Linked DNA regions of Anolis sagrei. The protein of the gene in region 3 interacts with the protein of the main gene of each other region in a pairwise test. Links are inferred from orthologs where the notes say so. Each region holds a gene or a part of one and is shown on either strand. Other genes may lie near its edges.

Region 1 (8,337 bases), on a different chromosome or scaffold from region 3:
TGTTCCAGACCAATTGATGTCAATATAAGGCAACCCTTAGGAAATCAGTACGAATGAAGGTTCCTTCAATTTGGCTGAACTGTGTCTACATTTTTCTCCTCAAAAGTGAATCTCCATAAAGGTGAAAATGGATTATTTTAACCTGCTCCCTGAACACTTGGACTGGGTAGAGAATTCAACACAGCTCTCTCTTTCTCCATTTCCTAATTCTCCCCTTCACAACACCCATCCCAGATTGCAAGAAATATTAATTGGGGCCGCTGAGTTATGATTTTCAGCCTAGTCCTATCCATTAGCAAAAGAGCATACCCAGTTCCTTATGCAGAATGTTTCCATGCTAACCAAGACCTTCGAAGTTTGCTTCTGTTCGCCATCGAAACGCAAAGGGTGGCCATGAATTGTGAACATATCACATTCTCTCTCTACTAAGATTGACTTGCAAACAGAAATATATAGGGTTGGGCTGTGAGGCAAAACTGCACAGTGCCTACTAAATACCTATGAACAAGACATGACGTTGTACATATTTACTGAGAAGCGGACAAAATTGATTTCAGAGGGACTTGGGCTCTCTGCATAAATGTGCATAAGGCAGCAACCTTAACAATTTAAGACCCTTTCCAAAGCTAGGATGCTCCAACTTAAAGGCTGTTGGGCGTGCAGAAGTATTTGAGCGCTGAAGTTCGGGGGAGTGCTAATCCAATGCTCAAAAAGTAGCTGCTGGAACTCCCTCGGTAACACACACTTATTCAAGGAAGGAATGCCTATTTCGACAAAAAGCCATTTTGATAAACAGGCACGTTCTGGAATTCCTCCCCACACCTCAGGAGTCCTTCAGACTGGCATGCAAATTGTTTGGTGGGGGGAAGAAAATCCTATTGCCTCAGAGGCCCCTGCTACATTTGAATTGTTTGACAGGTTAAGGGAAATCATAATTAAAGAGGGAGAGAGATGGAGACAGACACATGGAATAATAGCCATGCAGCGTGGCAAGCCAAGAAGAAGCAGGAGCCATTGCATTTCAAAAACTCTGGTGAGTTTTTAATTGCCAGGATTGCATTGTGCGCCACCCCAATGCTCCATTGCCTCCATTATGTTCCCTAGCTCTGTGCCATTCATCTCCCCTCATACCCTCCCTACACTTTCAGATACAAACACAACAAAGTGATCGCAACTCCGTAACACCCAGGACTTCACCCTGCCACCTTTTGCCATTCGGAACATGGGACTTTTTGTCTACTTCACGCTAATTGCTGTCATCCTCAAGCAAGGACATTTTGTTTTCAAAACCACACACATGCACACCGCCAGCACTCTCTCCCTCACAAGACCACCACATTTCTGCCATACTTGCTGGGAACTTTGGGTGCAGCTTTGAAGAAAGAGGAGGGTAGGGTAGGGTACAGATTAGGGTAAGGTGGCATTTTTTGCAGCTAGATATGCCATCACATAACTAGCACCCAGTGGCGCAATGGGTTAAACCCTTGTGCTGGCAGGACTAAAGACTGACAGGTCAGAGGTTTGAATCTAGGGAGAGCACGGATGAGCTCCATCTGTCAGCTCCAGCTCCCCATGTGGGAACATGAGAGAAACCTCCCACAAGGATTTTTTTTCATGTCAGGAGCAACTTGAGGAACTGCAAATCCTACAAGGATGGCAAAACATCAAAACATCCGGGCATCCCCTGGGCAACGTCCTTGCAGATGGCCAATTCTCTCACACCAGAAGCGACTTGCAGTTTCTCAAGTTGTTCCACACACACAAAAAAACAAAACAAAAACCTAACACCAGCTCAGAAGAAAGAAATTGGTTCTGCCAAGAATGACAAAAGGCTTCCTCCTCACTTTCCGCCCTCCCCTCCTTGTCACCTCCTCTATTTCTGAAAAGCCATTTGGTTTCGGGCCTAAAAGCTTGTTTCTCTGTTCATTGGCCCACATCTTCTCTATATCCTCCAGCTCTCAGAGGGATAGGAAGTGCAAACATCTCTCTCTGTCTTCCTCATATATATATATATATATATATATATCCATCCCACGCCAAGAACTCAAGTGTGGCTGTTTTCTTTAAAGTCTGTCACCCATAAACTGTTTAATACACCACTTTTCCCCCTCCCATTTTCCTTCCACCTCCCCCCCCCCCCCTCTGCCCCTTTCCAAACTGAATGCGGTGCTGCTGGAAGCCAATTTGATTCTCTCCTCCCCTCCTTTCTTCCAATGCAGCTGTAAGACTCAGAGAGATACTGACATTTTTCCACTCTTATCAGTTTAATTACAGTTACCATGGCAGCAAAGTGCTAGTGGTTGGCAAAGGCCAACAAGAGATTTGCAAGAGTGAGCTCAATTTTGATGCAGTTCACATGCAAAAAAAAGAAAAAAAAAGGGGAGAAAAATTAATACACACACATTCTCACCCACATAGACAGACACAGGAGCAGGACAGAGGAAACACACACTTTAACAACAAAGACCCCTCCTCTTTTGTATCTCTAACACAATTCTGGCTCTTCTCATCACCCCTGCCAGAGCCAGGCAAGGACAGCCTGTGCCTTGGCTTTGTTGTCCTAGTTATTAGTATTAGTAATGCGGCAGGGAGAAGGGGAAAAGAAAGAGATCCATCACAATTCCTAAATCAGATCAGGAGGGGTTGTGTTTGGAGATCCCCGACCCAAGGCGTTTGCAGAAAACACCATCCTGTCCAACAGGACAGTTCAGGACAGGCTTGGATGGATGGCCAAAGGGTAGCTTTGCTTTCCCCCTGTTCCTCCCTCGAAATAGATATATAGAGTATAGACACACACATATAGACACAGGGATGCTAGAGGGAGGGAGAGACGGACAGACAACTCACACACCCGAAGACGCGATGACAACAACCTTACCAAAACTTTTCTCCTTTTTCTGCATGAGGGGATGGCAGGGACTTCCCAGGGAGCTGCTTCGCTTTGAGCCCAGGCAAGGCAATGGGCAAGCAGGCCAGCCTCCCCAGCCCCCTCTTCCTCCCCGTGTGGGTCCAGTGGAAGAGGAGAGTGCTGGACACCGGGGAAGGAAGGAGGCGAAAGAGAGAAGAGAAAGAGGAGGGAGAGAAGGGCTATTGTGCAGAGAGAAGCACTTGGGAAGAAGGCGACGCTTGGGCTGCGAGGAAAAGCCGCGCGCACTCGCTTTCTCTCTCACACACACAGCCACAGACACACACGCAGGACGCCTTTGCCAGCGTGAAGTCCTCTTAGGGAAATCCGTGTGTGTGAGAGAGAGTGATGATAGTGGCGAAAGGAGGACAGATCCCGGTGGCTCCCTGAACTCTCTTCTTTCCCGATCTCGGGGTTTGGAAGGAAGAGCCATGCCACAATAGTAGGAGGAAACATCCCAGCCAGAAAGGAAGGATTGGGGCTGGAGATCAGAGAGAGAGAGAGAGAAGAGAGACGAGTAAAGAGTAGGAAGAGATCTCCATGACAAAAGCCGGGGAGGCTGCTTTCCAAGCTCCGATCTTTCTCCAAATTGATCGCGAATGGAGAGGGCAGGAAGGGCTCAACATTGCGCCCTGTCCACACCGTTTCGAGCCTCTTTATGAAAGAGTTGGGGTTTGGAAAGAAGAGAAAGGGAACCCGGTTCCTATCTAGAGGAGAGGGGGAAAGGGTTGGAAGGAAGGCGAGGAAGGAAAGCAGCTGCTCTCTTTCTCTCTCTCTCTCGCCACGGCGTTGGAGAGGCGCGCTCGCCGCTTCGGGGCAGGAAAAGGCCAGCCTGGGCTCCATTGTTTGACTTTGTTCCAACTAGCCACGCCAAGCGGGCCCTTCCTTCCCCAAAGTCCGAGCCAGGACTCTCCGGTGCCCGGCCAAAACCAGACGAGTCAAAAGCGCACACACACACCTCCCCAAAGTGCTTCCAGCCCAAAGTTGCAGGGCAGCAAGAGGAAAGAGGAAGAAAGGAGGAGAGAGGGGTGGGTATGGTATGGGGGCCAGGAGGGGGAAAGAGAGGAAGCCCCAAGCCCCACATCCTGACCCAGAGCCCTCCCTTCCCGCCTCAGGCTCCCACTGGCCCCAACTTACCTTCTCCACTCGACACGGGCAAAGTCACTTCGGGACCCCTAGATGCCACTTTCGAGGCGCTCTCCTTGGGGAAGGACAGAGATTGCGCGCAGCATGGTCGGAGGGGGAAAGAAGAGAAAGAGAAAAGAGGAGGGAGGGAAGGGAAGGAAGGAAGGAAGGATGGAGAGAGGAGAGGAAGGAAGGGAAGAGAAGAGAGGGAAGGAAGGGGAGAGAGGAAAAGAAGGAGGGAAGGTAAGGGAAGAGAGGAAAGGATGGAAGGAAAGAGAGGAAAGGAAGGAATGGAAGTAAGGAAGGGAAGAGAGGAAGGAAGGAAAGAAAGAAGGAAAGAGAGGAAAGGAAGGAATGGAAGTAAGGAAGGGAAGAGAGGAAAGGAAGGAAGGAAAGAAAGAAAGAAGGAAAGAGAGGAAAGGAAGGAATGGAAGTAAGGAAGGGAAGAGAGGAAAGGAAGGAATGGAAGTAAGAAAGGGAAGAGAGGAAGAAAGGAAGGGAAGAGAGGAAGGAAGGAAGGAGAGGAAAGGAAGGAATGGAAATAAGAAAGGGAAGAGAGGAAGAAAGGAAGGGAAGAGAGGAAGGAAGGGAAGAGGAAGGAAGGAAAGAGAGGAAAGGATAGAAGGGAAGAGAGGAAAGGAAGGAGTTGAGCGGACGCGGAGAGAAGGAGGGGCGCAGAAAGAGGGCGCCTGCTTCTCTTCCCCCCAAAAACTAAAGAAACGGAGCCCCAGCTACAGGTGGCCTTTCTAGGGAAGGGGGACAAGGATGCCTGTGGGTTTAGGCTCAAGCCAAAGGAAGCCTTGGAAATCGGGACCGAGAGAGAGAGAGAAGGAAAGAAGAGAGAGGGAGGAGGGAAGGAGGGAGGAGAGAAAGAACTTACCTAAAGCAGCAGCGTGCTTTGAGCCGAGCTGGAAGAAGTCAGGGGCTGAACCAACTGCAGGACGCAATCCCTTAACCAGCCAGACATAATACAGCAAAGGGGGGGAGAAAGGTCACTCGTGTTCTCGGCGTGGAGTGGGATTTGGAGAAGCAGGAGAGGAGCTGAGGAACTGGCGTCCGGTAGCAGGCTATTTACCTCCTTCCTCTCTCTCTCTCTCTCTCTCTCTCTCACGCACGCACACACAGCCCCCCTCCTCTCTCCCCCAACCCCCTCCTTCCCTCCTTCCCCTCCTCCTCGTCGCCCCCCGCCTCCCTCTCGCAAGCCGCAAAGCCCGCTCGCCACAGCGCAAAGCAGCCCGGAGACAGATTGGGCTTTGTCGCTCACCCCCCCCCCCCCCCCCAGTGAACAGTTTACGAGGCGGCGAGTTCAAGTCGGAGGAAAGCAGCTGCAGGCGCCAGGCACGAGCCACCAAGCTGGGATTGGGGGGGGGGGGAGGGAGGGAGAAGCCCCCCACTCAAATCCCCTTCTCTCTGCAAGAAATCCCTGCCACATTCCCAGGAGACGAGAGGGCCGCTCTCCCTTCCCCCAAAGTTGGGAGCCCAAGAGCTCCTTCGTGGCGCCTGTCACTTTCCTCCCACGTGGAGCCCCCCATTGAAGGCTGGGTTTCCCCCTTTGGGAAGAGAGGCCCTTGGGCTTCCTAGGAAGGGAAGGGTTGGAGATGGGAAAGGGATCCTAAAAGAGAAGCCTTTCTTTGTGTTGTCGAAGGCTCTCATGGCCGGAATCACTAGGTTGCTGCGAGTTTTCCGGGCTGTATGGCTAGGTTCCAGAAGCATTCTCTCCTGACGTTTCGCCCACATCTATGGCAGGCATGCTTAGAGGTTGTGAGGTCAGTTGGAAACTAGGTTTATATATCTGTGGAAGGTCCAACTCTTGTCTGTCGAAGGCAAGTGTGAATGTTGCAGTTGGCCTCCTTGATTAGACTACCCAGAGAAGCCATGGAAATCCACACAAGCATGTGGGCAATTGCAACAGAAAGGAGGAAGCCATGAAAATGAACAAAATCTGGCGACCAGTATTTAAAAAACCCACCAGAATCAAAATAGTAAATAAAGAACAACACTCTGAAAACAGGGGACTTCCAGACAGGAAACAATGAGGGCCATCTAACACCCAGGAAGGAATCAGCCAGGCCTTGAAGCTGCAAGGCTTTTTGGTGTTAATCAAGGCATTCACACTTGCCTCTCACATATATACCAAACCATACGAAAATGATCTTAAATAATATAAAGGCTTGAAGCTGCAAGGCTTTGCAATGCTAATCAAGGTGGCCAATTGCAACATTCACACTTGCCTCCAACAGACAAGAGTTCTTTCTCCCACCCTGGACCTTCCACAGATATATAAACCTCCCTTGTTTACCTCCCAACAAATGATTCTCCCAGGCAGTAAGAAGCCAGACCTTGAAACTGCTAGGCCATTCAATGCTAATCAAGGTGGCCAGTTGCAGCATCCACACCTACCTCAAATGGACAAGAGTTCTATCTCCCACCCTGGACATTTCACAAATATATAAACTCCATTTTCCTAGTTTCTAATAGGCCTCACAACCTCTGAGGATGCCTGCCCTAGATGCAGGCAAAATGTCAGGAGAGAATGCTTCTGGAACATGGCCACACAGCCTGGAAAACTCACAGCAACCCTGAAGCCTTTCCTCACTCCCCCATCCCTTAAAACTTAGAAATCCAGACTTGGAAGAGGCACAAGGGCCACCCAGTTCAACCCTTCCCTCTTTCAGGGAAATACAACCAAAGCATTCCTGACAGATGGCCCTCCACGCCTCTGCTGAAAAACCTCCACAGAAGGGGACTCCAACACACTAAAGCACCACATTCCACTGTTGAACAACAGCTCTTCCTGCCAGGAAGTTCTTCCTAATGTTTAGGTGGGATCTCTCTTCTCTACAATGTGAATCCATTGCTCTGTTTCCTAGTCTCTGGAGCAGCAGAAAACCACCTTGGCTTCTTCTTATACATCCTTTCAAAGGACCTTTTGGGGACTAGTTCAGGAATTGCAACAGGGAGGTTTTGAAGAAGGGGTAGAACAGGTTTGGGCCAACTTGGGGACCTCTAGGTGTTTTGGACTTCAACTCCCACCATTCCTAACAGCCTCAGACCCCTTCCTTTTCCCCCTCAGCCGCTTAAGCGGCTGAGGGGGAAAAGGAAGGGGCCTGAGGCTGTTAGGAATGGTGGGAGTTGAAGTCCAAAACATCTAGAGGTCCCCAAGTTGGCCCAGGCCTGCTCTAGACATCCACCAAGGCTGGATGCTCTCAACCTGAGCTAAGTTTCAGGCCCGGGATTGAAAGCATACACATTTCAGTGCAGTGCTGGATGCTGCTCCCTCTCACAAAATATTAAGAGATGGGGCTTCCTATCCCCCCCCTTCCCGACCCCACGTAGAGCCTCCTTCTGGTGTAAATAACCCCCCACCTCCCCCCAGGCGCCTTCCCTTTTGAAAAGAGTCAACCCTACAGCTGGGAGAGGGGAAAAAAGGGGGGAAGAAACCGATTAAGAATTTGCCAGCGCCTTTTGCCAGACTTCAAAGCGACCCTCGCTTGCCTGCCATTAAGAGCCTCACACCAAGATTGCCACAAAGGTTTTTTTCCCCCTCCTTAAAGATGTCAGAATCCCCCATCCCTTAAAGAGAAAATGAATGACACCCATTATGAGAAAAGGTGCTTTGCAAAGCTTTTGAAGCCTAGGAGGGGTTTGTCATCAGCCTGGCTCTTCCTAAGGCCAGATAATGCACCAACCCTAATAAATAATAATAATAATAATAATAATAATAATAATAATAATAATATACATCACACAGTTCTAGACACTTGGAAAGTGTCTGAGGTGTGATCCAATACAACAGCCAGCAGAGTGATCTTGTCTGCTGTGGACTCATCTTGATGTGTTTCAAATAACAACAACAACAACAACAGAATATTAATAGCAATCACAACAATAATAAGCAGCAAGAAATGGAAGGCACAAATGTCCAAGTGGGGCTTACCCCCTCCTCCCTTATGGGACTTATGTTACATACCAAACTATACAAAAACTAAGCCTTGAACCTGTATAGCTTTGCAATGCTAATCAAAGTGATTAATTGCAACATTCACACTTGCCTCCAACAGACAAGAGTTCTTTCTCCCACCTTGTACATTCCACAGATATATAAACCACAATTTCCTAGTTTCCAACAGACGTCACAACCTCTGAGGATGCCTGCCATAGATGTGGGCGAAACGTCAGGAGAGAGTGCTTCTGGGACATGTCCATACAACCTGGAAAACCCACAGCAACCCAGTATAAAGCCACTCAGGCAGGACTTGTGGTGCAGCTACACTGTAGAATTAATGTAGTTTCAGACCACTTTAACC
Region 2 (8,124 bases), on a different chromosome or scaffold from region 3:
TACTTTAATTGATATGTATATTTATTACAATTTTATAATGTTATGTTTTACTGATACTGTTATTGCCTGAATCTGGCACTGAATTATTATCATAGTTTGTAAGCCGCCCTTAGCCCCCCTTCAGGGGTGAGATGGGTGGGTATAAGTACAGTAAATAAATAAGCTGTATCATCTCGGCTCAGGGGAAGGCAAAGGCAAGTTATCATCAGCACTTAATGAATTGGCATATCCTGTAGTAGTATTTAGATCGTGTAATGAATGCCTCTCATGCCACTTCAGAAATTCTCATCACAGAATCATAGAATCATAAAGTTGGAAGAGACCTAATGGGCCAGCCAGTCCAACCCCCTGCCAAGAAGCAGGAAAATTGTATTCAAAGCACCCCCAATATGGCCATCCATCTGTTTAAAAGCTTACAAAGAAGGAGCCTCCACCACACTCTGGGGCAGAGAGTTCCACTGCTGAACAACTCTCACAGTTAGGAAGTTCTTCCTAATGTTCATGTCGAATCCCCTTTCTTGTAGTTTGAAGCCATTGTTCTGAGTCCTTGTCTACAGGGCAGCAGAAAACAAGCTTGCTCCCTCCTCCCTATGACTTCCTCTTATGTATTTATACATGGCTATCATGTATAATCTCAGCTTTCTCTTCTTCAGGCTAAACATGCACAGCTCTTTAAGTCTCTCCTCATAGGGATTGCTCTCCAGACCCTTGATCATTTTAGTCACCCTCCTCTGGACACATTCCAGCTTGTCAATATCTCTCTTCAATTGTGGTGCCCAGAATTGAACACAATATTCCAGGTGTGGTCTGACCAAGGCAGAATAGAGGGGTAGCATGACTTCCCTGGATCTAGACACTATACTCCTATCGCTGCAGGCCAAAATCCCATTGGCTTTTTTTGCCACCACATCACATTGTTGGCTCATGTTTAACTTGTTGTCCACCAAGACCCCAAGATCATTTTCACATGTACTGCTCTGGAGTCACACATCCCCCATTCTGTATCTCTGCATTTCATTTTTTATGCCTAAGTGGAGTATCTTGCATTTGTCCCTGTTGAACTCCATTTTGTTAGTTTTGGCCAATCATCTCTCTAATTTGTTAAGATCGTTTTGAATTCTGCTCCTGTCTTCTGGACTACTGGCTATCCCTCCAAATTTGGTGTCATCATGGAGAAGCACCTAGATAACATAGGAATGTCAGTCACTTTATCTGTGTTGCCTAAACCATTACACTGAACATGAGTCAACAGCAGCAGCTTAAAAAAGCTCATACAATTCTAGGCAGCATCAATAGGGCAATACTGCACTTGAAGGATCTTGGTAGCCTCGGGTGCAATTGGGTGGGGATGTGTGGGTGGGGGTGTGTGTGGGTGGGGGTGTGTGTGTGTGGGGGGGGGAAGAGTTGAATAAAAATAAGGGGGCGGTGGAAGCACAAAGAATAAAGAGAATTTTGACAAAAATGTTCATAGTATCATCTGTTCTGTAACAGAATAAAAAATGTTGTGTTTACTTTATTTTCCAAATAGAATCATAAGTTGGAAGAGACCTCGTGGGCCATCCAGTCCAACCCCATTCTGCCAAGAAGCAGGAAAATCGCATTCAAAGCACCAACAGATGGCCATCCAGCCTCTGTTTAAAAGCCTCCAGAGAAGGAGCCTCCACCACACTCTGGGCAGAGAGTTCCACTGCTGAACAGCTCTCACAGTTAGTAAGTTCTTCCTCATGTTCAGATGGAATGTCCTTCCCTGTAGTTCAGTGGTTCTCAACCTTCCTAATGCCGTGACCCCTTAATACAGTTCCTCATGTTGTGGTGACCCTCAACCATAACAAAACTGTCATTTTGCTACCATTATGAATCGTCATAAATATCTGATATGCAGGATGTATTTTCATTCACTGGTCAAAATTTGGCACAAATACCTGATATGCCCAAATTTGAATATGCGTGGGGTTGGTTTTGCCATTTGGGGGTTGTAGTTGCTGGTATTTATAGTTCACCTACAATCAAAGAGCATTCTGAACTCCATCGATAGTGGAACTGAACGGAACTTGTCACACAGAACTCCCATGACCAACAGAAAATACTGGAAGGGTTTGGTGGGCATTGCCTTGAGTTTGGGAGTTGTAGTTCAAATACATCCAGAGAGCACTGTGGACTCAAACAGTGATGAATGTGAACCAAACTTGGCACAAATACTCAATATGCCCAAATGTGAAGTTTGGGGGGAAAATAGACCTTGTCATTTGGGTGTTGTAGTTGCTGGGATTTATAGTTCATCTACAATCAGAGTATTCTAGACCCCACCAACGATAGAATTGGGCCAAAACTTCCCACACAGAACCCTTATGACCAACAGAAAATACTGTGTTTTCTGATGGTCTTTGGCGACCCCTCTAACACTCCCTCACGACTCCCCCCCCAGGGGTCCCGACCCCCAGGTTGAGAAATGCTGCTGTAGTTTGAAGCCATTGTTCCGCATCCTAATCTCCAGGGCAGCAGAAAAAAAAGCTTCCTCCCACCTTCCAATGACTTCCCCTCACATCTTGATACATAGACCTCAGCATGTCTCCTCTCAGCCTTCTCTTCTGCAGGCTAAACATGCCCAGCTCTTTAAGCCACTCCTCATAGAGATTGTTCTCCAGACCCTTGATCATTTGAGTTGCCCTCCTCTGGTCAGATCTCAGCTTGTCAATAAAGACACGAGATGCATGTTATAATCTATGTGTTGATGTATGTACTGTATTTTGACTGTGTGGGACGGGCCTGTGTATTCCTGCATTGGCAGAATGGGGTTGGGAGTGATGAACGGCCTTTCTCTGGGGCCTCTTCCAAGCCTTACCAATAGCAGCTGGTGTAGACGCACCCAGGCCGGTCTGAGGCTGCGGGCCGGTAGGCAGGCGAGGCTGAGGCTGCTCCAAGCCCGAGAGCCTGCTGCTCCATCCGGGAACCCACGGGCCTGGCGATGGGGGAGGCTTGGGGGGCTCATTTCCCCAGGAAGGAAAGCTGGGCAGGAAGAGAGGAGCGAGCCGAAGAGGAACCGGAAGTGGCAGCCTGGCTTGGAAGGCGCGCGCCCCAAGCAGAGGAGAGGGAACGGGCGCCATAAACAATACCTTCCCCGGGAAACACGGCACAAGAAGTGGGGTTCCGGGTCACTGTGTTGCTTCTTGATTGAAAGCAAAAATTAAGGAAGGGAGGGAGGGAGGGAGGAAGAGTGCATATATGTATATATCATACTAGCTGTCCCCTGCCACGCGTTGCTGTGGCCCAGTCTGTTGATCTGGAAAATAAAGTAATGAGAAAGTGTTGGTTTCTAATATATTTAATTTTTATGCTTGTGGATAAACAGTATTTCTTGTTGTTTCTTTATCAGTGTTTATGTGGAGAGTGTCTGGTTTGCCTACTCTGGAACATGCAAGATATCATTGTCCTTCTTTAAGGGTCCCTTTCAAATCTATGATACTATATCTCTCTGTGTGTGAATCATCTCTCTCTCTCTCTCTCTCTCTCTCTCTATGGCTGGATGGCTCTTTGTCAGGAGGACTCTGATTACGTTTTCTTGCCCTGATGAAGGGAGTTGGATTGGATGGCCTTAAGTATTTTCTGTTGGTCATGGGGGTTCTGTGTGGGAAGTTTGCCCCGATTCTGTTGTTTGTGGGGTTCAGAATGCTCTTTGATTGTAGGTGAACTGTGAATCCCAGTGACTACAACTCCCAAATGTCAAGGTCTATGTCCCCCAAACTCCATCTATGTTCATATTTGGGTATATTGAGTGCTTGTGCCAAGTTTGGTCTAGATCCATCATTGTTTGAGTCCACAGTGCTGTCTGGATGTGGGTGAACTACAACTCCCAAACTCAAGGTCAATGCCCACCAAACTCTTCCAGTATTTTCTGTTGATCATGGGAGTTCTATGTGCCAAGTTTGGTTCAATTCCATCATTGGTGAAGTTCAGAATGCTCTTTGATTGTAAGTAAACTATAAATCCCAGCAACTACAACTCCCAAATGACAAAATCATAAATTTTTGAGTGATGGTCACTCCTTGTGTTGTGAGACGTTTTGTTGCCAAATTTGGTGTGATTTCGTTCATTGGTTCTTTTGTTTTTAAGGTACTCATTATGCACAGAGCATTTATATATAGATAGATAGATAGGATTCATCATATGTCATATGTAATGGGATAAAGGAATGGGAAAGGTTTCACCAGCTTAAGGCTGGCAATCTAACATCCATATCCTCTTCTATATAAATAAAAATGTAATGTTTGTTTGTGGGATTAATATAACTCAAAAACCACTGGACGAATTGCCGCCAAATTTGGCCACAAGACACTTACTAACCCAAGGAGTGATCATCACTCATCCTCACTACCTCTGAGGATGCTTGCCATAGATGCAGGCGAAACGTCAGGAGAGAATGCCTCTCTAGACCATGGCCATATAGCCTGAAAAAACCTACAACAACCCACTCAAAAATTGATTTTGTCATTTGTGGGTTGTAGTTGTTGGGATTTATAGTTCACCTACAATCAAAGAGCATTCTGAACTCCATGAAAGATAGAATTGGGGCAAACTTCCCACACAGAACCCCTATGACTAATAGAAAATACTTAAGGCCATCCAGTCCAACTCCCTTCACCAGGGTAAGAAAACGTAATCACAGCCCTCCTGACAAAGAGCCATCCAGCCATAGATATAGATAGATATATACGATTTACACACAGAGAGAGATATAGTATCATGGATTTGAGAGGGACACCTAAAGAAGGACAATGATATGTTGCATGTTCCAGAGTAGGCAAAACAGACAATCTCTACATCAACACTGACAAAGAAACAGTAAGAAATACTGTTTACCCATAAGCATAAAGAAATTACATAGATTAGAAACCAACACTTTCTCATTACTTTATTTTCCAGATCACCAGACTGGGCCACAGCAACGCATGGCAGGGGACGGCTAGTCTATATAATAGAATGTTTGTTTGTGGGATTAACATAACTCAAAAACCACTGGGTGAATTGACATCCAATTTGGACACAAGACACCTATCAGACCAATGAGTGACCATCACTCATAAAAACATGGAAAAACACAGCAGAAGACACTTAAAAAGCCAAAAAACACAAAATACATTCCAACTCATGTGCAAAACCATATATATATACACACATATATACAAATATATACACACCCAGAGAGGAAGGGAAAGAAGGGGAGAAAGAAAGGAGAGAAAGAGGGGGGGGGGGGTAGTTGGCCACAGCAACGTGTGGCCGATACATCTAGTATCTATATAAATTAAATTTTAATGTTCATTTGTGGGATTAACATAACTCGAAAACCACTGGGCGAATTGACACCAAATTTGGACGCAATACACCTATCAGCCCAACAAGTGACCATCACTCATAAAAACACTGAAAAACACAGCGGGAGATACTTAAAAAGCCAAAAAATAAAAGTTACATTACAATGCATTCGCAAAACCACATATATACACATATCTCATAGTTTGTGGCAGCCACAAATACAAAGTTTCTGGAGTGTAGCAACTTCTTTCAAAGGATCACACAATTAAACAGGAAGTAACATTTTCAATTCAGGAACACTTTTTTTCAAATTTTGTTACATAGTGTAATTTTACTTTTTAGTTAGCATTCCTTGTGCCTGGAGGTGGATTCCAGCATTGTTAAAAAACACATAAACATTGTAAAAATTCTATAAAAAGGTAAAGGTTTCTTTTGATATTAAGTCTAGTTGTGTCTGACTCCGGGAGGTGGTGCTTGTCTCCATTTCTAAACCAAAGAGCCGATATTGTCCGTAGACGCATCGCAGGTCATGTGGCCAGGATGACTGCATGGAGCGCCATTACCTTCTCACAGAAGCAGTACCTATTAATCTACTCACTCTTGCTGGGCCTAACGGGGAGTTCACTCTGCTCCTCATTTGAAATGCCGACCTTTTGGTCAGCAAGTTCAGCAAATCAGCGGTTTAACCCACCAGGGAGCAGGTATTCTATAAATACAAATTAAAATGTATTTCTATAAAAGATGCATATTAAATTGCACTTCTATAAAATACATATTGAAATACACAGAGCAAAGATTAAAATAATATGTAACATATATACCTGGGAAAAGCTAGTTTTACCAGCTTTTCTTCTCTGCCAAACTACAAATCCCAGTATCCCACAGGATTGAGCCAGGGCAGTTAATTAGAGTGGTGTCAAACTGTATTAATTCCATAGTATATAGATGTACCCTGAGAGATAGCATCCTGGGAGTTGCAGTTTGGTGAGGCAGCAGCACTCTCTGATCAAACAGGTGAAGCTTTTCCTTGAAGAAATGTTGAGGAAAGTCCCACCTCTTGGTGAAGTTGCAAGGATTTTAATGGTCTCCAAAGGGGAAGTGACTTGTGGAAGAGAGAGCTGGCTTTCCTTCTGGTAACATTACAGACTCTGCAACTGCTTTGAAGTATTCCTGGACAGAGGTAAATTTATCTTAAGAATAGCTTTCCATAATAATAATAATAATAATAATAATAATAATAATAATAATAATAACAACAACAATAATAATTCCCTCAGTAATAACCAGCAACCCAATAATAGCCAGCCTTTTGGAGACTTTACAGACTCTGCAACCACTTTGAAGCACTCCTGGACCAAGGTGAACATACCTATAAGAATGGCTAATAATAATAGCTAATAATAATAATAATAATAATAATAATAATAATAATAGCTATATGATTTGGGAACAGGAATGAGTTCTGCATAAGGGTTTTAGGGAAACTAATACCCAAGAAATAATTTCTGCCACTTTCTTCCTCTGAAATATAGACTCCTGTAACCTAGTAATAGTTGGGGTCTGAATCCTGGAGAAAGGCAGGTTATTAAATCTAATAAATAAATAGTTGTTGAATGCTTTCATTGCCAAAATCACTGGCTTGCTGTGAGTTTTCCAGGCTCTTCTGATGTTTCACCACTATCTATGGCAGGTATCCGCAGAGGTTGTGAGATCTGTTGAAAACAAGGCAAGTGAGGTTTATTTTGGGAATTTGTATCCTGCCCTATCTCCGCAGAGGGACTCAGGGCGGCTAACGTATCTCCCTCTACGTCCCACCCCGGAATTTGAGATCATCCGGGGAGGCCCTGCTCTCGACTCCACCGCTATCACAAGCGAGGCTGGTGGGGACGAGGAGCAGGGCCTTCTCAGTGGTGGCCCCTTACTTGTGGAACTCACTCCCGGGGGAAATTAGGGCGTCAACATCCCTCCTCACCTTCAGGAGGAAGGTAAAGATGTGGTTGTGGGACCAGGCCTTTGGGCAACCTGACAATTAGATATGGAAACCAGATGAATAGGACTAAAAGGGCTGACAATTGTGGAATTTGAATTTAAACTATGAGAATGTGAAACGCTGACCGTCAAGGAGGTTTGTATGGATTTTATTGCTTTTATTGGTTTTATGGTTGTTCTTACCTATTATAATTATTGTCTTTATGGTAATTGCTGTTATTGATAGAATTGTTGTTGTTAAATGATGTTATTGTCTTTTGCTGTATGTGATGCGGGCATTGAATTGTGCCTCGCTTTTGTAAGCCGCCTAAGTCCCCCCCCGGGGTGAGAAGGGCGGGGTAGAAGCAACCGAAATAAATAAATAAATAAATAAATATGCTGATGACAACGTTGTCTGTGCTCATTCAGAAGAAGATCTACAAGCCACTATAAACACCTTTGCAGAAGCATACGAGAAGCTCGGCCTGTCATTGAACATTGAAAAAACCAAGGTGCTGTTCCAGCAGTCACCAGCCAACCCCTCTCCAATGCCAGTGATACAGCTTAATGGTGTAACATTAGAAAATGTTGATCATTTCCGCTACTTTGGTAGCCACCTCTCCACCAAAGTCAACATTGACACCGAAATACAACACCGCCTGAGCTCTGCGAGCGCAGCATTTTTCCAAATGAAGCAGAGAGTGTTTGTGGACCGAGACATCTGCAGGGATACCAAGGTGCTTGTCTATAGAGCTATTGTCCTCCCAACCCTGCTATATGCCTGCAAGACGTGGACAGTCTACAGACATCACATGCAACTCCTGGAACGATTCCATCAGCGCTCCC
Region 3 (6,682 bases):
AAACAAGCATCAAATGGAGTAAACAAGCATCAAATGGAGTAAAAACTCATATGTGTACATGCTCTGTTTAATATTATAAAGTTTAAAAGAAAGAGTTTCAGAGAGTTCTCATTGCTTTCCACTTGTGCTTCCCTTGAGCCACCTGTGTATCCATGGCCAGCTGATCGGGTATTTCAGGCTTTTAAAAAGCACATGTGCGCTGTAGGAGTCCACACAGGGGGGAGGGAAGGGAAGCAAATGTTTTGTATGACTACATGTATATATAGTTATGAGACAGTGCACATTTTGGAGACGGAATCAGATTTTAAGCGAATCTTTTTAACATGTGCTTTCCAACTGTTAACCCATTTTAGCCTGCACTTTGGCTAAACAATCCCTTTTAACCCAGTTACTTTTCTGGGTTTTATGTGTAGAAGAACCCTAATTTGTTTTCAACTTATGGTGACCCTAATGTTAACCTGTCACAGGGTTGTCCAAAGGTTTCCATGCTGAGACTCTGTCTCTAAAGTCATAGTCCAAAGCCCATACCACTGCATCACATCAATCTTTCCTTCTGAGATGTTCTTGTGGCTATTCCTTGCTGCTGGTGATCCTGTCAAAGCCCTGGCTGCCCTCCAGAATAAAGAAATGATCAGGGTGATGGACTTGGTTGCCCCTGAGGGTCCATGGAGTGGGGCTGATCTGGGGCCCTGGTTTATCAGTGAGCCAATGGCATTGGAAGGAAGGTCTAATAATTCAAAACGTCATTACTGCTTTTTGAATCAACAACAGAACTTTATTAGCTCTTACATCACAGGAGGGAGATAATTTCCTGAAAGTAGATGGACTTCTATTCAACCTATCCGATCTCCCTGTAGCTGTTCAACTAACAGGCTTCTTCATTCAGTATTCTCTGACTGACTCTCAATTAAATCAAAGGCGTTAAGCGTCTCTTGCAGCAAGCCCATCTGAGCGATAATATTACTGATAGCATCTTTGGTGGTCTTTTGTTGGAGCTTAAGTTTATTGTTCTCCTCCCAAAGTATTTTGTTCCCTCCTTCATTATTCTGGAGTGCCTGCTTATCTTCCAGAAGTGTGTGGTTCTCTTTTATGAGAAACAATACCATTTGGTTCAGTTTCTGAACAGTTTCAAGTACTTCGTTTTCTTCTAACAGTGATAAGGCAGTTTGTTGCCTTTCTTTTTCTGAGGTGGCACTGCTGTCTTCTTGTGTTTCTGGTTCAGCTGTAGCAGGCTCAGCTGATGCAGAGGTATTGTTTGTTTCCTGCTCAAGGGGTTCCTTTCCCAATAAGAGGTCAGATTGCTTTTCCTTCTGAAGGACTGGGGTGAGTTTCTTCTCCTCCTCAGGAAAAACCTTCAAAGCCAAAATCTTATCCCGAAAGATTTGAAGAGCTTTTTTCTCTTCTTGGATAAATTGAAGGGCTTTGTTTTCCTTACCCCCCTGGAGTCCTCCTTTGCGTGAAAGAGCTACTAAAGGCTTATTTTCCTGTTGGAGCATTTGTTGAAGACTCTCATCATAGATAACCTGAATACCTTTGTTCTGTGTCCTTAGACACTGGAGTACTTTATTCTCTTCCCGAAGTGCCCTGTTTTCCACTCGGAGGGCCTTGTTTTCTTCCCAGAGGGCTTTGTTTTCTTCCCAGAGGGTCAAGTCACTGTGCATCTTCTTGCTATAGTGTTTCTTGTGGGCTTCTGCTGAAGAGGAAATTGCTGGTTGAACAAACGATTCATTCACCCACTTGCCATCTAGAAAGACAAAGGTGTCATCACTGAGTTTGACCTTCGGCGGGATGCAGTCCATCTTTACCTTCCACTAGGTGCATATATTGGTTCAAAAGAAAGTCCGAAGACCTGGATTATTGCATGAAAGTGAAGAAATACACATTAAATTATATTATTTGATAGTTTATCAGCAATATGCATTAGTTATAATCAAGCACTCTGAAATCGGTACAATTAAAATAATGAACCATGAAAAACATTAAGTCTGTTATAAAGGCTACAAAATGAAATTAAATGAAATCACATGAGATTAAGACATTCTCGAGTCAATGTTTGTAGTTCTTTTTTCTTCTTTTGGAAAATGAAACATTTTAAAGCCAATAATTTGTTTAAAGCCAAGCCAGCTTCCCTAAGAATTGCCTTCACTAAACTGCTTTGTTAAATAATGCCTGCCGCAGTTCTAGATAAATGCTATAATAAAGTGCTATTTGAAAACAGATTATTTCAAACAGGTTAACTATTTGAAATCAGTTAACAAGGTAGATGTGTTTCTGAGCTTTACTTCTTTAACGGAAAATGTGCACCAGAGGAAGAAATAAGAAGGAAATAATAGGTATAGGTTCTTACACCACAACTAAGGAACAGTTCAATATGGTTTTTCCCTGAAAAACAGTATGCACATGGGAACAAAACAATTAAGTTGGCTAAATGTTGTATAAGTAGTCTCTACTCACATTGACAGAGCTCAAAACTCCTGCAGAAGTAGAAAAACTGCAAAACGCATTCTATGGATCGCCTGTCATTCCCTTTCTCATCTTTCACCACAAAGCCTCAGACAGATCTTAAACCCCTTTCCCAACTATTGACTTCCTCGCCCTCTGTTACCAGATTTTAAATCCCTTTTCAGCTACATTACTTTGGCCCATTCCACACAGCTGAATAAAATCCCACATTATCTGCTTTGAGCTGGAATATATGGCAATGTGGACTCAGAAAACCCAGTTCAAAGCAGATATTGTGGGATTTTCCGTCTTGATATTCTGGGTGATATGGCTGTGTGGAAGGGACCTTTGTCTCTCCTTCCATGTCCTTCCAAAAGCACCAGTCCCTCTCCATTCACCACCTTTGCACCAAAACTTGCCTTCATTCAGTCATTATACACAATAAGTTCTTTTGTAAAATGGATTCATGATATTTGTTATAAATATTCTATTTAGGTAGGAGGGATAATAATTATGAAGCTTCATCAAATATTCCATATTTTCCCACGGAATTGTCTCATCTAGCCAATTGAAAAAAAAGTTTTATTTATTTATTTATGACATTTATATGTCGCCCTTCTCACCCCGAAGGGGACTCAGAGCGGCTTACAAGGTATATGTTACATATAATATATTAGATTATTAGCATAGTACAATATCAGTATTAAACATTGCTATATTGCACCATACCACTATATCGTAATATTATTAGTAATATTACATGTAATATAAATATATAATAATAATAATAATAATGTATTATTATTATTATTATTATATTGCATTACATTATAATATTATAAATATTATATGTATATACAATTTATTATATTTATAATTTTATTATTTTAGAATGAAAAGAACCATAATGTAGTACAATGTTTGATATTCTCAACCTCCCTTTTTGGTAAACGTAACTGTTTTTAGAAACTGTTGCTTCCAAAAAAAAAATGGCCAATTTTATACATTTGTTGTAGATGGCGTAGTGCAGGGATAAGCAGCTGTGGAAAGCTAGAGTCTACATATCGTCTCCAAGAGCCTAAACCTCCCACTTACTCTTGAAAAATATGTGGGGTTCCTTGGACCCCTCAAGAGCATTGTGGGTAATTTTACGTGGGGAAAGAATGGAGATATTTGGCAAACATTTGTTTTGATTGCGGGGATTCCAAGAGGGAGCTCCAAACATGGTAAAAATACTTTCCACAAACCCAAATCTTCCTGTGGGGTCATTTTGAGGGACAATTGATCCTGGGAAGTCTTTTTTCCAACCCCTACTTTAGTGGAGTAACATGATATAAAAATAACAGTTCGGAAAGATTGTGAATTTTAGTTGTTGCTAGAGAAAAAGCATTGAAATATTTAACTTCACATTCATTCCACTTATTTTTAACCAATTTGTGAAAGACATGTAGTTTATTCTAACGAACAGATTAAAATATTTTTGATAATAGCTGTGTATTTAAAGTGAGAAAACAAATATTGAACTTCAATTAATGTTTATATTTTTATCATGGTATTCCCTGTAGTAACCTACGGATGTGAGAGCTGGACCTTAGGGAAGGCTGAGCGAAGGAAGAGAGATGTTTTTGAGCTGTGGTGTTGGAGGAAAGTTCTGAGAGTGCCTTGGACCGCGAGAAGATCCAACCAGTCCATCCCCTAGGAAATAAAGCCAGATTGCTCATTGGAGGGAAGGATACTAGAGACAAAGTTGAAGTACTTTGGCCACATCATGAGGAGACAGCAAAGCCTAGAGAAGACAATTATGCTGGGGAAAGTGGAAGGTAAAAGGAAGAGGGGCCAACCAAGGGCAAGATGGATGGATGGCATCCTTGAAGTGACTGGACTGACCTTGAAGGAGCTGGGGGTGGTGACGGCCGACAGGGAGCTCTGGCGTGGGCTGGTCCATGAGGTCACAAAGAGTCGGAGACAACTGAACGAATGAACAATCATGTCAGGTGCGACATGAGAAACTGCAAATTGCTTCTGGTGTGAGAGAATTGGCTGTCTGCAAGGACATTGTCCAGGGAGCACCCGGATGTTTTACCATCCTGTGGGAGATTTCTCTCATGTCCAAGATAAGAAGCTGGAGCTGACAGACAGGAGCTCACTCAGCTCCCTGGATTCGAACTGCTGACCTTTTTCGGTCTGCAGTCCTGCCAGTGCAAGGGTTTAACCCATTGCACCACCAGGGGCTCCATTTAATGCCCGTTCTTTCTAGGATGTCATACGCTGTTCCAACAAATGGGCTATTTTTCTCCCTCACCAACAGTGCTTTATAGAGAGCAATGAGCATGCTGAATCTCATCAAGCTGTTCGCAGAAGCTTGTCTTTTCTTTTAAACTTATGTACAAACATTATTTGGCATGTGGTGTGCCTGGTTCACTGTCTAGATGACAGGCATGGAACAATTATTCTGGTATTAGAGGGAACAAACAAAGAATCCGAACAAGTTTTCTAACCAGTTTCAAAAAGGAGACTTGATCAGAGTTTGTAGAGTTGAGAACGAGTATCTGGAGTGATGGGATCAGTAGTAAGTAAAAACATTTTAACTTTAATAAACTTCCCATTCTGATTGCTCCTCTTACAAGTTCTAAAATACTAAATTACTTAGTTGTTGTAGGTTTTTGGGGTTGTAGGGCCATGTTCTAGAAGAATTCTCTCATCCTTAGAGGTTGTGAGGTTTGTTGGAAACTGGAAAATTGGGTTTATATACTGGTAGCCAGTACTAAAAAACTCTAAAATTATAACAGTAAATAAAAAACAAAACTCAAACGCAGGGAAACTCCAGCCAGGAAACAATCAGGAACACCTGGTCACTTCTCAACAAGGAAATTTCCCAGGCAGAAACAAGCCACACCTAAAAGCTGCCAGGCCATCAAATGCTAATCAAGGTGGCTAATCGAAACATTCACGCCTAGCTCCAACAGACAAAAGTTCTTTCTCCCCCTGGACCTTCCACAGATATATAAACCCTATGTTCCTAGTTAGCAACAAACCTCACAACCTCTGAGGATGCCTGCCACAGGTGCAGGCAAAACATCAGGAGAGAATGCTTCTAGAACATGGCCATACAACCTGAAAAACCTACAGCAACCCAGTGATCCCAGCCATGAAAGCCTTCAACAATACACTAAATTACTTAGATTTGTGTTGGCTGCTAGTTTAGTATTCATCTTTTCTTCTCCTCCAAACCTTCACAGGTTTTGTTGACAAAAGAGAGTTGGCAGAAATATTTTGCTAGCAATCTGGAAATCCTACTCAGGTCTTTAAATCATATACAATTTGGGGGGGCAAACTATGTTTGGGAGAATAGTATGACAAGTAGAAATTGAGTGTTCCTTATCTGGAATTTCAAAATCTAAACTACTCAAAATCTTGAAATTGTCTGCATGGGTGGCTAAGATAGTGACACCTTTGCTTTATGGTGGTTCAATGTAGAATTGGCAAAACAGCTTTAAGGCTGTTCTTATGAGAGAGTGGGGTAAAGAGGTGTCTGGAATACTTTGGTTTAAGAGCCAATGGGGAGAAAACCCATGCAAAAGGAACTAGCGTTGTGTATTGATACATGGGATGAAAGCCCATTGAATATTTAAATTGCTTTACCTATACATGTATTGTGCAGTCACTTATTTTTCATATCTAACAATGTCATTTGTATGATTAGCAACTCTTGTTATTTTAAATAAAGTTTATTATGCTTTGAGCACCTTGTTTCCAGAATTGAGTCTGCCTGTATGTTACAAACAAGCAAGGACTACTCGTGACATGCCACAACCAGTAGGGAATAATTGGTCAGATGGATAGAAGTGACCACCAGTATAATCAGAAGTGCACTTTGGACTTCAAAAATCCTGTTTCAATATGAGTAAGATTTCAATATGAGTGAAGTTAAAACACGAAAAAGTTCATGTAGTTTTTTTTCAAGTGAGACATTAAAATTTCAATTGTAAACAATTCATTTAAAAAATAAAGGAGACACTAAAGAAATGAAATGTGTTTAAGAAACACACAGGAAGAGTAAAGAGAACTGGCCAATGTTTGTAGTGAGATAATCAAGAAAGCTAATATTTGAATTATAGAAGTTGTTTTAATTGTGTTTTAACATTCGTATTAGCTTGGGGGTTTTAAGGTTGTTCTGTACTTTTACATGTTTGTAAGCTGTCCTGAATGTCATGGTGGGATAAAGACTGGATGGAGAAAT
Region 4 (8,022 bases), on a different chromosome or scaffold from region 3:
GAAGGCTCCTTCATCAATAGATCGCGCAGAATTAAATGGATGAAACAACTGTTATATATGATTGCTTACCTCTTTCTGTTTCCAGCCTCTTCCAGCTTCTCTCCTTTTTTGCTCCATCTCTGGAGTTCATCCTTCAGCCGTTGGTTTTCCCATTTGAGTTCGGCTGCCTCCCAATTAGACTGCGAGGTGGCACACCAAGGCAGCCCCACAGGCCCTGGCAAAGGAGGGGCTGACCGGCTTTGGAAATGGGATGGTGGGATCAGCCCTCTGGGCTCTACATAAAAAACAGATGAACACCAAAGGCAGAGATGGACATATAAGTACTGAAAATTCAGACAATTGGATTTTATATTGGAGGGAACTTAGGGATACAACAGATCAGTATTCTAGGGGTTCATACTATGACAGATTCTGTCCGTTCAATCCACATTCTTGCAGAATTTGGTCAATGGTAAAAAATATTTACTGTAGTATACTTTCAATGAACCAGCACCCATGGGGATTAGTAGATGCTGGATAAACATAGTTTCTGGTTGCTTGAGAGTTACTATTAGAACTAGGCCTAACTACTGTATATTGTATATTGATTGTTATGATTGTTTTAACTGTGATAATTGTTTTAACTATGGTTTTGTACACTATGTATAATTTTTGTACAGGCATCGAATTGTGCCTTTTGTAAGCCACCCTGAGTCCCCCCTCGGGGGTTGAGAAGGGCGGGGTAAAAGTACCCGAAATAAATAAATAAATACTGTATTAGTATATCCTGCCTTTCTCCCTGTGGGGACTTAAATTAGAAAGGGGGGCAGAAGACAGTTCCACCTTGTCTCCTGTGCTATTCTAATAATAAAATATAATAAATATAATATAATATAGTGTATATACATATATTTATAATATTATAATGTAATGCAATATAATGTAATACTATAATTATATATGTATATTACATGTAATATTACTAATATTATTACAATACAATGTTATAGTACAATATAGTAATATTTAATACTGATATCGTATTATGCTAATAATATATATTGTATGTATATATATCTTGTAAACCGCTCTGAGTCCCCTTTGGGGTAAATGTCGTAAATACACTGTAGAAATAATGAGTTTGACACAACTAACTACCGGACCCACTGCTACGGAATCCTCGGAATTGTAGGCACCTTCTACACTGCTATATAAAATCCAGATTATCTGCTTTGATAATCTGGATTATATGGCATTATATAAGCATCTCTTCCAAAGATTCCACAGCACTGAAATTCATGAATACTATAGTGTAGATTCCATATGTGACACTGACAAGCACAGGACACTCATACTCCCAACTTCCCAAATAACAAAATCAATATTAACACACAAAGAAGCGATCTCAAATGCGCTCCTTTTTTTACCAGTGGATCTTGGCACTCCGAACGCAGCAGGAGGCTCCAGCTGTTTGTCTGAATCTTTCCTTCTATCCATGGCTCCGAATCATAATCCTTCAGAAATACATTCACAGAAGTTACAATTACAGGACCCACCACCAAAAAGAGAATAATAATAATAATATTGCTCCCTAGAAATCTTGAGATCCTCCAGCACAATTCTATGAACAATTTCTACTGAAAGCAGACTATAAAATAGCACCAAGGCCCCTTCTACACTGTCATATAATCTACATTATTGGTTTTGAACTGGATTATATGGCAGTGTAGACCAGGCATGGGCAAACTTTGGCCCTCCAGGTGTTTTGGACTTCAACTCCCACAATTCCTAACAGCCTACCGGCTGTTAGGAATTTGTGGGAGTTGAAGTCCAAAACACCTGGAGGGCCGAAGTTCACCCATGCCTGGTCTACACTGCCATATAATCCAGTTCAAAGCAGATAAACTGCATTTTATATGGCATTGTAGAAAGGGCCAAAATATGGATCTCTCAGGTGTCTGGCACTCATGGGGGTTGGTAGATTCTGGTTGCTTGGGAGTGCCTATTAAAAATAGGACTAACTAATACTATACCCCGTACTATACCATAAAGGTAAAGGTAAAGGTAGTCCCCTGACATTAAGTCCAGTCATGTCTGACTCTGGGGTGTGGTGCTCATCTCCATTTCTAAGCCGAGGAGCCAGCGTTGTCCGTAGACACCTCCAAGGTCATGTGGCCGGCATGACTGCATGGAGCGCCGTTATACCATACTATACCATACCATACACTTTAAATTTACTTGATATTAATATTGAAATGCAATAGTTAAAAGCAAATCAGGACAAATAAAATCTTAATATATTGCGTTATTATAAAAACAGCTATGTGACTGCACTATGCAATGTTGTTTTAAAAGTTTTGCTGGTTGCTTGAGAGTTCTGCTATCTGAAATTCTGGTTAATTGAGAGTCTACTATATTTGCATTCCATTTTACAGGTTGAGCATTCTTTTATTTCACATCCAATATCCTAGAGATCATTTTATACAATATTGTATATGTATATAAGGCATATATATATCTATATCTGAATTTCATGATGAGGTTTAGTTCTCCTCTCCAAGTTAATATCACTATGGAAATCAAAGTATTCCAAAATCTGGAAGGAAAAAAAATGCAAAATATTTTGGATAAGGAAGACTTTATCTGTGCTCTAGAGCTATTAATTTTTGTGTTACTTACCAATTGTTTCATGCACAAAATGATTAAAAAGTATTGGTTAACATTAGCTGCAGGCTATGATTCAAAGATATATGTCTAACAAGCAATTTTAATGCTTAAGAAGCCAGTCCTAACATGATCCTCTTTCTTCTTTTGCATTTCACAAGTCAGTTGGGTTTCTTTAGCACAAGCTGCTTTCTAAATCCTTTCTTTTACTCTTTAGAGCCCCCCTTTTCCCTTATAAATTGGTTCGTTCCGCTTCCCCCCTTTTCCTCCTTCTCATTGGTTCGCTCCGCCCCCCCCCCTTTTCTTTTTACATGAATCCACCGTTCCGAACCCTCCATCAACAGTCACTAGCAGCAACCCACCGACGTCGAACTGCGCATGCGCCAAACTCTCGCGTCCCAAGCTCCAACGGAGAGAATAGAAACCACACCGATCCGAAGAGAACGGAAAGATATGGAACGGTGACGTCACGAGATAGGCGGGACGAATGTTAGACACACCCCCTCGCGGTGTCTCAGCCAATCAGATAACGGGACAAGCTCTTTGTTGTTTAGAACGGGTTTTTTTTTCCTCCCCGCTTCAAAAGGGCGCGCGAAGAATGAGGACACGCCCCTTTTCCTCAAATCGACCAATCAGCGGATTGGATCCGAAAAAGCGGTAGAAACTTGTTTAGGTTGCCCATTAAGTGCATCTACACTATAGAATGAATGCAATTCAACACAATTTTAACTCCCAGGGCTCAATTACTATGGAATCCTTTAAGTTACAGATTGATGAAGCACAATTACTTTTTGGCAGAAGAGGCTCAAGACCTTATAAAACTACAGCTCCCATAATTTCATAGCATTGAGCCATGGCAGTTCAAGGGGTGTCAAAGTGCAGTCATTCTACAGTATAGATACACCCTAACTTTTAGTATCATAGAATCAAAGAGTTGGAAGAGACATCATGGGCCATCCAGTCCAACCCCATTCTGCCAAGAAGCAGGAATATTGCATTCAAAGCACCCCTGACAGATGGCCATCCAGCCTCTGTTTAAAAGCTTCCAAAGCAGGAGCCTCCACCACACTCTGGGGCAGAGAGTTCCACTGCTGAACGGCTCTCACAGTCAGGAAGTTCATCCTCATGTTCAGATGGAGTTCAACAAATGCACAGCCCATGAATATAAAGAGAAGCCTATTTCCAATTTTCTGCTGTAATGTAGAATCATAGCACTATAATTATATATTGTGTCATGGTACTGGATTTTTTAATAGTGGGCTGCACTATTTTTGCTCCATTGAAACTCATATAGAGCATTTTGTTGAATAATTGTCTCAATCCTCTTTACAAAGAAGAAAAGAAGGTCCTCTCCTAGTTTGCAGAATGCTTTGCAAATCATGCTGCTGTACTTGTTGTTCATTCGTTCAGTCGTCTCCGACTCTTCGTGACCTCATGGACCAGCCCACACCAGAGCTCCCTGTCAGTCGCCACCACCCACAGCTCCTTCAAGGTCAATCCAGTCACTTCAAGGATGCCATCCATCCATCTTGCCCTTGTTCGGCCCCTCTTCCTTTTGCCTTCCACTTTCCCCAGCATAATTGTCTTCTCCAGGCTTTGCTGTCTCCTCATGATGTGGTCAAAGTACTTCAGCTTTGTCTCTAGTATCCTTCCCTCCAATGAGCAGTCGGGCTTTATTTCCTGGAGGATGGACTGGTTGGATCTTCTCGCAGTCCAAGGCACTCTCAGCACTTTCCTCCAACACCACAGTTCAAAAGCATCGATCTTCCTTCGCTCAGCCCTAAGGTCCAGCTCTCACATCCGTAGGTTACTACAGGGAATACCATGGCTTTGACTAGGCGGATCTTTGTTGCCAGTCTGATGTCTCTACTCTTTACTATTTTATCGAGACTGGACATTGCTCTCCTCCCAAGAAGTAAGCGTCTTCTGATTTCCTGGCCACAGTCTGCATCTGCAGTAATCTTTGCGCCTAGAAATACAAAGTCTGTCACGGCCTCCACGTTTTCTCCCTCTATTTTCCAGTTGTCAATCATTCTTGTTGCCATAATCTTGGTTTTTTTGACGTTTAGCTGCAACCCGGCTTTTGCGCTTTCTTCTTTCACCTTGATTAGAAGGCTCCTCAGCTCCTCCTCGCTTTCGGCCATCAGAGTGGTGTCATCTGCATATCTGAGGTTGTTAATGTTTCTTCCAGCAATTTTCACCCCAGCTTTGCATTCATCAAGCCCCGCACATCGCATGAAGTGTTCTGCATACAAGTTAAAAAGGTTGGGTGAGAGTATGAAGCCTTGCCGTACGCCTTTCCCAATCTTGAACCAGTCTGTTGTTCTGTGGTCAGTTCTGACTGTTGCGACTTGGTCCTTGCTTTAGGCTAGGCTGAGGGAATCCCTTCCCCCCTGACACCTCTATCTATATGTTCACTCACTCTCTTACTCTCTTATTGCAGCTGCTGAGTGGGAGGGAACCAGACTACCAACCTGGTACTTTCCAACAGTCACTGAGAGGCCCTCCCGCCATCTTTAACTGCCATTCCACCGGGCCGCTGAGTGGGAGGAAGCCAAACTACCAACCAAGTAATTTCCAACAGCTGCTGAGAAGCCCTCCCACCATCTTTAACCTCCATTCTTCCAGCCGCTGAGTGGAAGGGAGTGTTGTGGCTCAGCTTGATTCTGAGCCTGAAACTGAACCCTCTTGTGAGCCTGAAATGTTCCCTGATGAAGAGGATGATGGGATTCAGATTTTTGGTCCTGTTCCTATGCCTTTGTCTGCACCTCTTGCAGACACTTCACCAGAGGAGTCAACAAGTCAGTTCTCATGGGAAAAGAATGCCAGCGAATTAGATAACGACCAGGGGCAGAGACCTTCACTTGCTCAGCCGTCTCATGCTGATACTGATAGAGAAGAGAGCAGCCTTGATAGTGATTAAATGAGCAGGCAGGAATGTTTAGATTGGTGGGTCAGGAGGAGTTTGCGGCTAGCCAGCAAGAAAGAAGCTAGGTCGATGAAAGGTCATCGAAATGCTTTCATGTTGGCGAGAGCGTAACGTTTTCTTGTTCGCAAAAGGTATTTAGGCTTCTGGTTAACAAGGGGAATGTGTCAGTTCATCGTGGCTTTTAGCACGAAGGTTTCTATGGAATAACCTTGGCTCTAAAGCAGCATGCTCTGGGCTTCCTGAATCGTGATTCTTGGGACTTGTGTTTCACTGTTTTTACCAAGGACTCTTGTTTGACCATTGCTTAAAGGATTATGTTTTATGTTCTTACCTGAGGACCTTTGGAATTGTGTTTTGCATTTAACCTTTGTCTTTGGAACTCTGTATTGCTTACTCTATGTTTTGACTTGGGTTTTTGCCTCAATAAACTACAAAATCTACAGCTCTTGTGTGGTAGTATTTGGGAACAAGGTGAAGCCTACTCTGAGTTGCAACAGGGAGCCAGACTACCAACCAGGCACTCTCTATCAGCTGCCGAGAAGCCCTTCCGCCATCTTTAACTGCCATTCCACCGGCTGCTGAGTGGGAGGGAGCCAGACTACCAACCAGGCACTCTAGCAACCGCCGAGGAGCCCTCCTGCCATCTTTAACTGCCATTCCACCAGTCGTTGAGTGAAAGGGAGCCAGACTACCAACCAGGTGCTTTCCAATAGCCACTGAGAGGCCCTTCCACCATCTTTAACTGCCATTCCACCAGCTACTGAGTGCGAGGGAACCAGGCTACCAACCAGGTACTTTCCAATAGCTGCTGAGAGGCCCTCCCACCATCTTTAACTGGCATTCCACCGGCCGCTGGGTGGGAGGGAGCCAGACTACCAACCAGGCACTCTAGCAACTGCCGAGGAGCCTTCCTGCCATCTTTAACTGCCATTCCACCAGTCGCTGAATGGAAGGGAGCCAGACTATCAACCAGGTACTTTCCAACAGCTGCTGAGAGGCCCTCCCGCCATCTTTAACTGCCATTCTACCAGCCGCTGAATGGGAGGGAGACAGACTACCAACCAGGCACTCTCTAGCAACCGCCGAGGAGCCCTCCCGCCATCTTTAACTGCCATTCCACCGGCTACTGTGTGACGGCGCGAGTGGCACCACCTATGTCTGTAGAACTGTTAGTTGCAAGATTTAAACTGTTGTATCATGCTTAATTCTGCTTTTTTACCCTGCTTATGTATAGTTGGATTGATTGGTTATTTATATTTGTCAATCAGTGTTGTTTGCACCAGTTGAATTGCTTTTTCAGCTCAGTTGTTTGGCTCCACCTCTTCCTGGCGGAGGGGAGTGCTTCCCTTTTTTATTCCACCTTCAGATTTTCTACGAGATGGACATGAGTAAGAGACTTGGCTCTAAAAGCCCCTGATTAAATTACCTCTCAGCACCAATTCTGAGGTTTTTACCCTTGAGACTTATGCTTCATGTTCAGACCAACCTGAACGACATTGGGAAGTCTCAAGCACCTTCAAGCCAGTTCTTTTGGCACCAGAGGAAGACCCTGAGTCTTCAAACTGAGGTTGTGGATTGCTCCGGCATTTACAGCCATTGAGAAAGAGGGACCTGGAAAAGCTTCTCAGCTGCAAACACCTTGGACCCAAGACAACCAGAGACTGTAATGTATATTTTCCTTCCCCCCCTTTGAAACTTCCAGCTTATTGCCTTAAAGAGATAACTCTTTGTGAACAATAAAACTTATTTTGAGTTATCTACAGTGTTTGGGTCTTTGAGAAATCCAGTTTCCTAAAGGAGGGCAAGAAGCAATCCCCTGGGGAAAGATGTCACATCCATGTCTCTTTCACTAAGAGCTATAGCCTCCAGGCGCGACGGCACAACTGAGTGCGAGGGAGGCAGACTACCAACCAGGTAATTTCCAACAGCTGCTGAGAGGCACTGCTGCCATCTTTAACTGCCATTCCATCAGCCGTTGAGTGCGAGAGAGGCAGATTACCAACCAGGCACTCTCTAGCAACCGCCGAGGAGCCCTCCTGCCATCTTTAACTGCCATTCCGTCCAGGGGCGGCTCAACACATTACACAACGTAAGCATTTGCAGTATAGTTGATTTTGCCCAGGGGTGCTCTTGAGGTGCTCTTGGGGGGAAAATAGACCTTGACATATGCGAGTTGTAGTTACTGGGATGTATAGTTAACCTACAATCAAAGAGCATTCTGAACTCCACCAATGATGGAACTGAACCAAATATGGCACACAGAACTCCCACGATGAACAGAAAATATATATCAGTTATTGGTTGGGGAGCGGGGGGCGCCAAAATACTGTTTGCTTACTGCCTCTGATTCCGCCAGTTGCTGAGTGGAAGGGAGCCAGTCTAGCAACCAGGTACTTTCCAATAGCCGCTTAGACGACCTCCCGCCACCTTTAACTGCTATTCCACCGGCT

What was found.
Region 1: the proteins of CBY2 (region 3) and LMO3 interact in binary tests that used the Homo sapiens proteins (3 or more experiments, as listed by UniProt). The two-hybrid records come from large-scale screens. The link is inferred for Anolis sagrei from reciprocal best matches to the Homo sapiens genes CBY2 and LMO3.
Region 2: the proteins of CBY2 (region 3) and NTAQ1 interact in binary tests that used the Homo sapiens proteins (3 or more experiments, as listed by UniProt). The two-hybrid records come from large-scale screens. The link is inferred for Anolis sagrei from reciprocal best matches to the Homo sapiens genes CBY2 and NTAQ1.
Region 4: the proteins of CBY2 (region 3) and CCHCR1 interact in binary tests that used the Homo sapiens proteins (3 or more experiments, as listed by UniProt). The two-hybrid records come from large-scale screens. The link is inferred for Anolis sagrei from reciprocal best matches to the Homo sapiens genes CBY2 and CCHCR1.

What each region holds. Positions count from the first base shown.
Region 1 is NC_090025.1:182,067,880-182,076,216, forward strand, and holds the start of LMO3 (LIM domain only protein 3), read right to left. Parts: upstream 3,237-8,337; 5' UTR 2,904-3,236; coding exon 2,879-2,903; intron 1-2,878.
Region 2 is NC_090024.1:20,446,030-20,454,153, forward strand, and holds the start of NTAQ1 (protein N-terminal glutamine amidohydrolase), read right to left. Parts: upstream 3,071-8,124; 5' UTR 2,944-3,070; coding exon 2,843-2,943; intron 1-2,842. UniProt on the Homo sapiens protein: Mediates the side-chain deamidation of N-terminal glutamine residues to glutamate, an important step in N-end rule pathway of protein degradation.
Region 3 is NC_090023.1:141,537,657-141,544,338, forward strand, and holds CBY2 (protein chibby homolog 2), read right to left. Parts: upstream 1,846-6,682; 5' UTR 1,800-1,845; coding exon 879-1,799; 3' UTR 790-878; downstream 1-789.
Region 4 is NC_090022.1:21,398,987-21,407,008, forward strand, and holds the start of CCHCR1 (coiled-coil alpha-helical rod protein 1), read right to left. Parts: upstream 3,098-8,022; 5' UTR 3,006-3,097; exon of another isoform or gene 2,965-3,005; intron 2,901-2,964; exon of another isoform or gene 2,659-2,900; intron 1,494-2,658; 5' UTR 1,477-1,493; coding exon 1,407-1,476; intron 275-1,406; coding exon 70-274; intron 1-69. UniProt on the Homo sapiens protein: May be a regulator of keratinocyte proliferation or differentiation.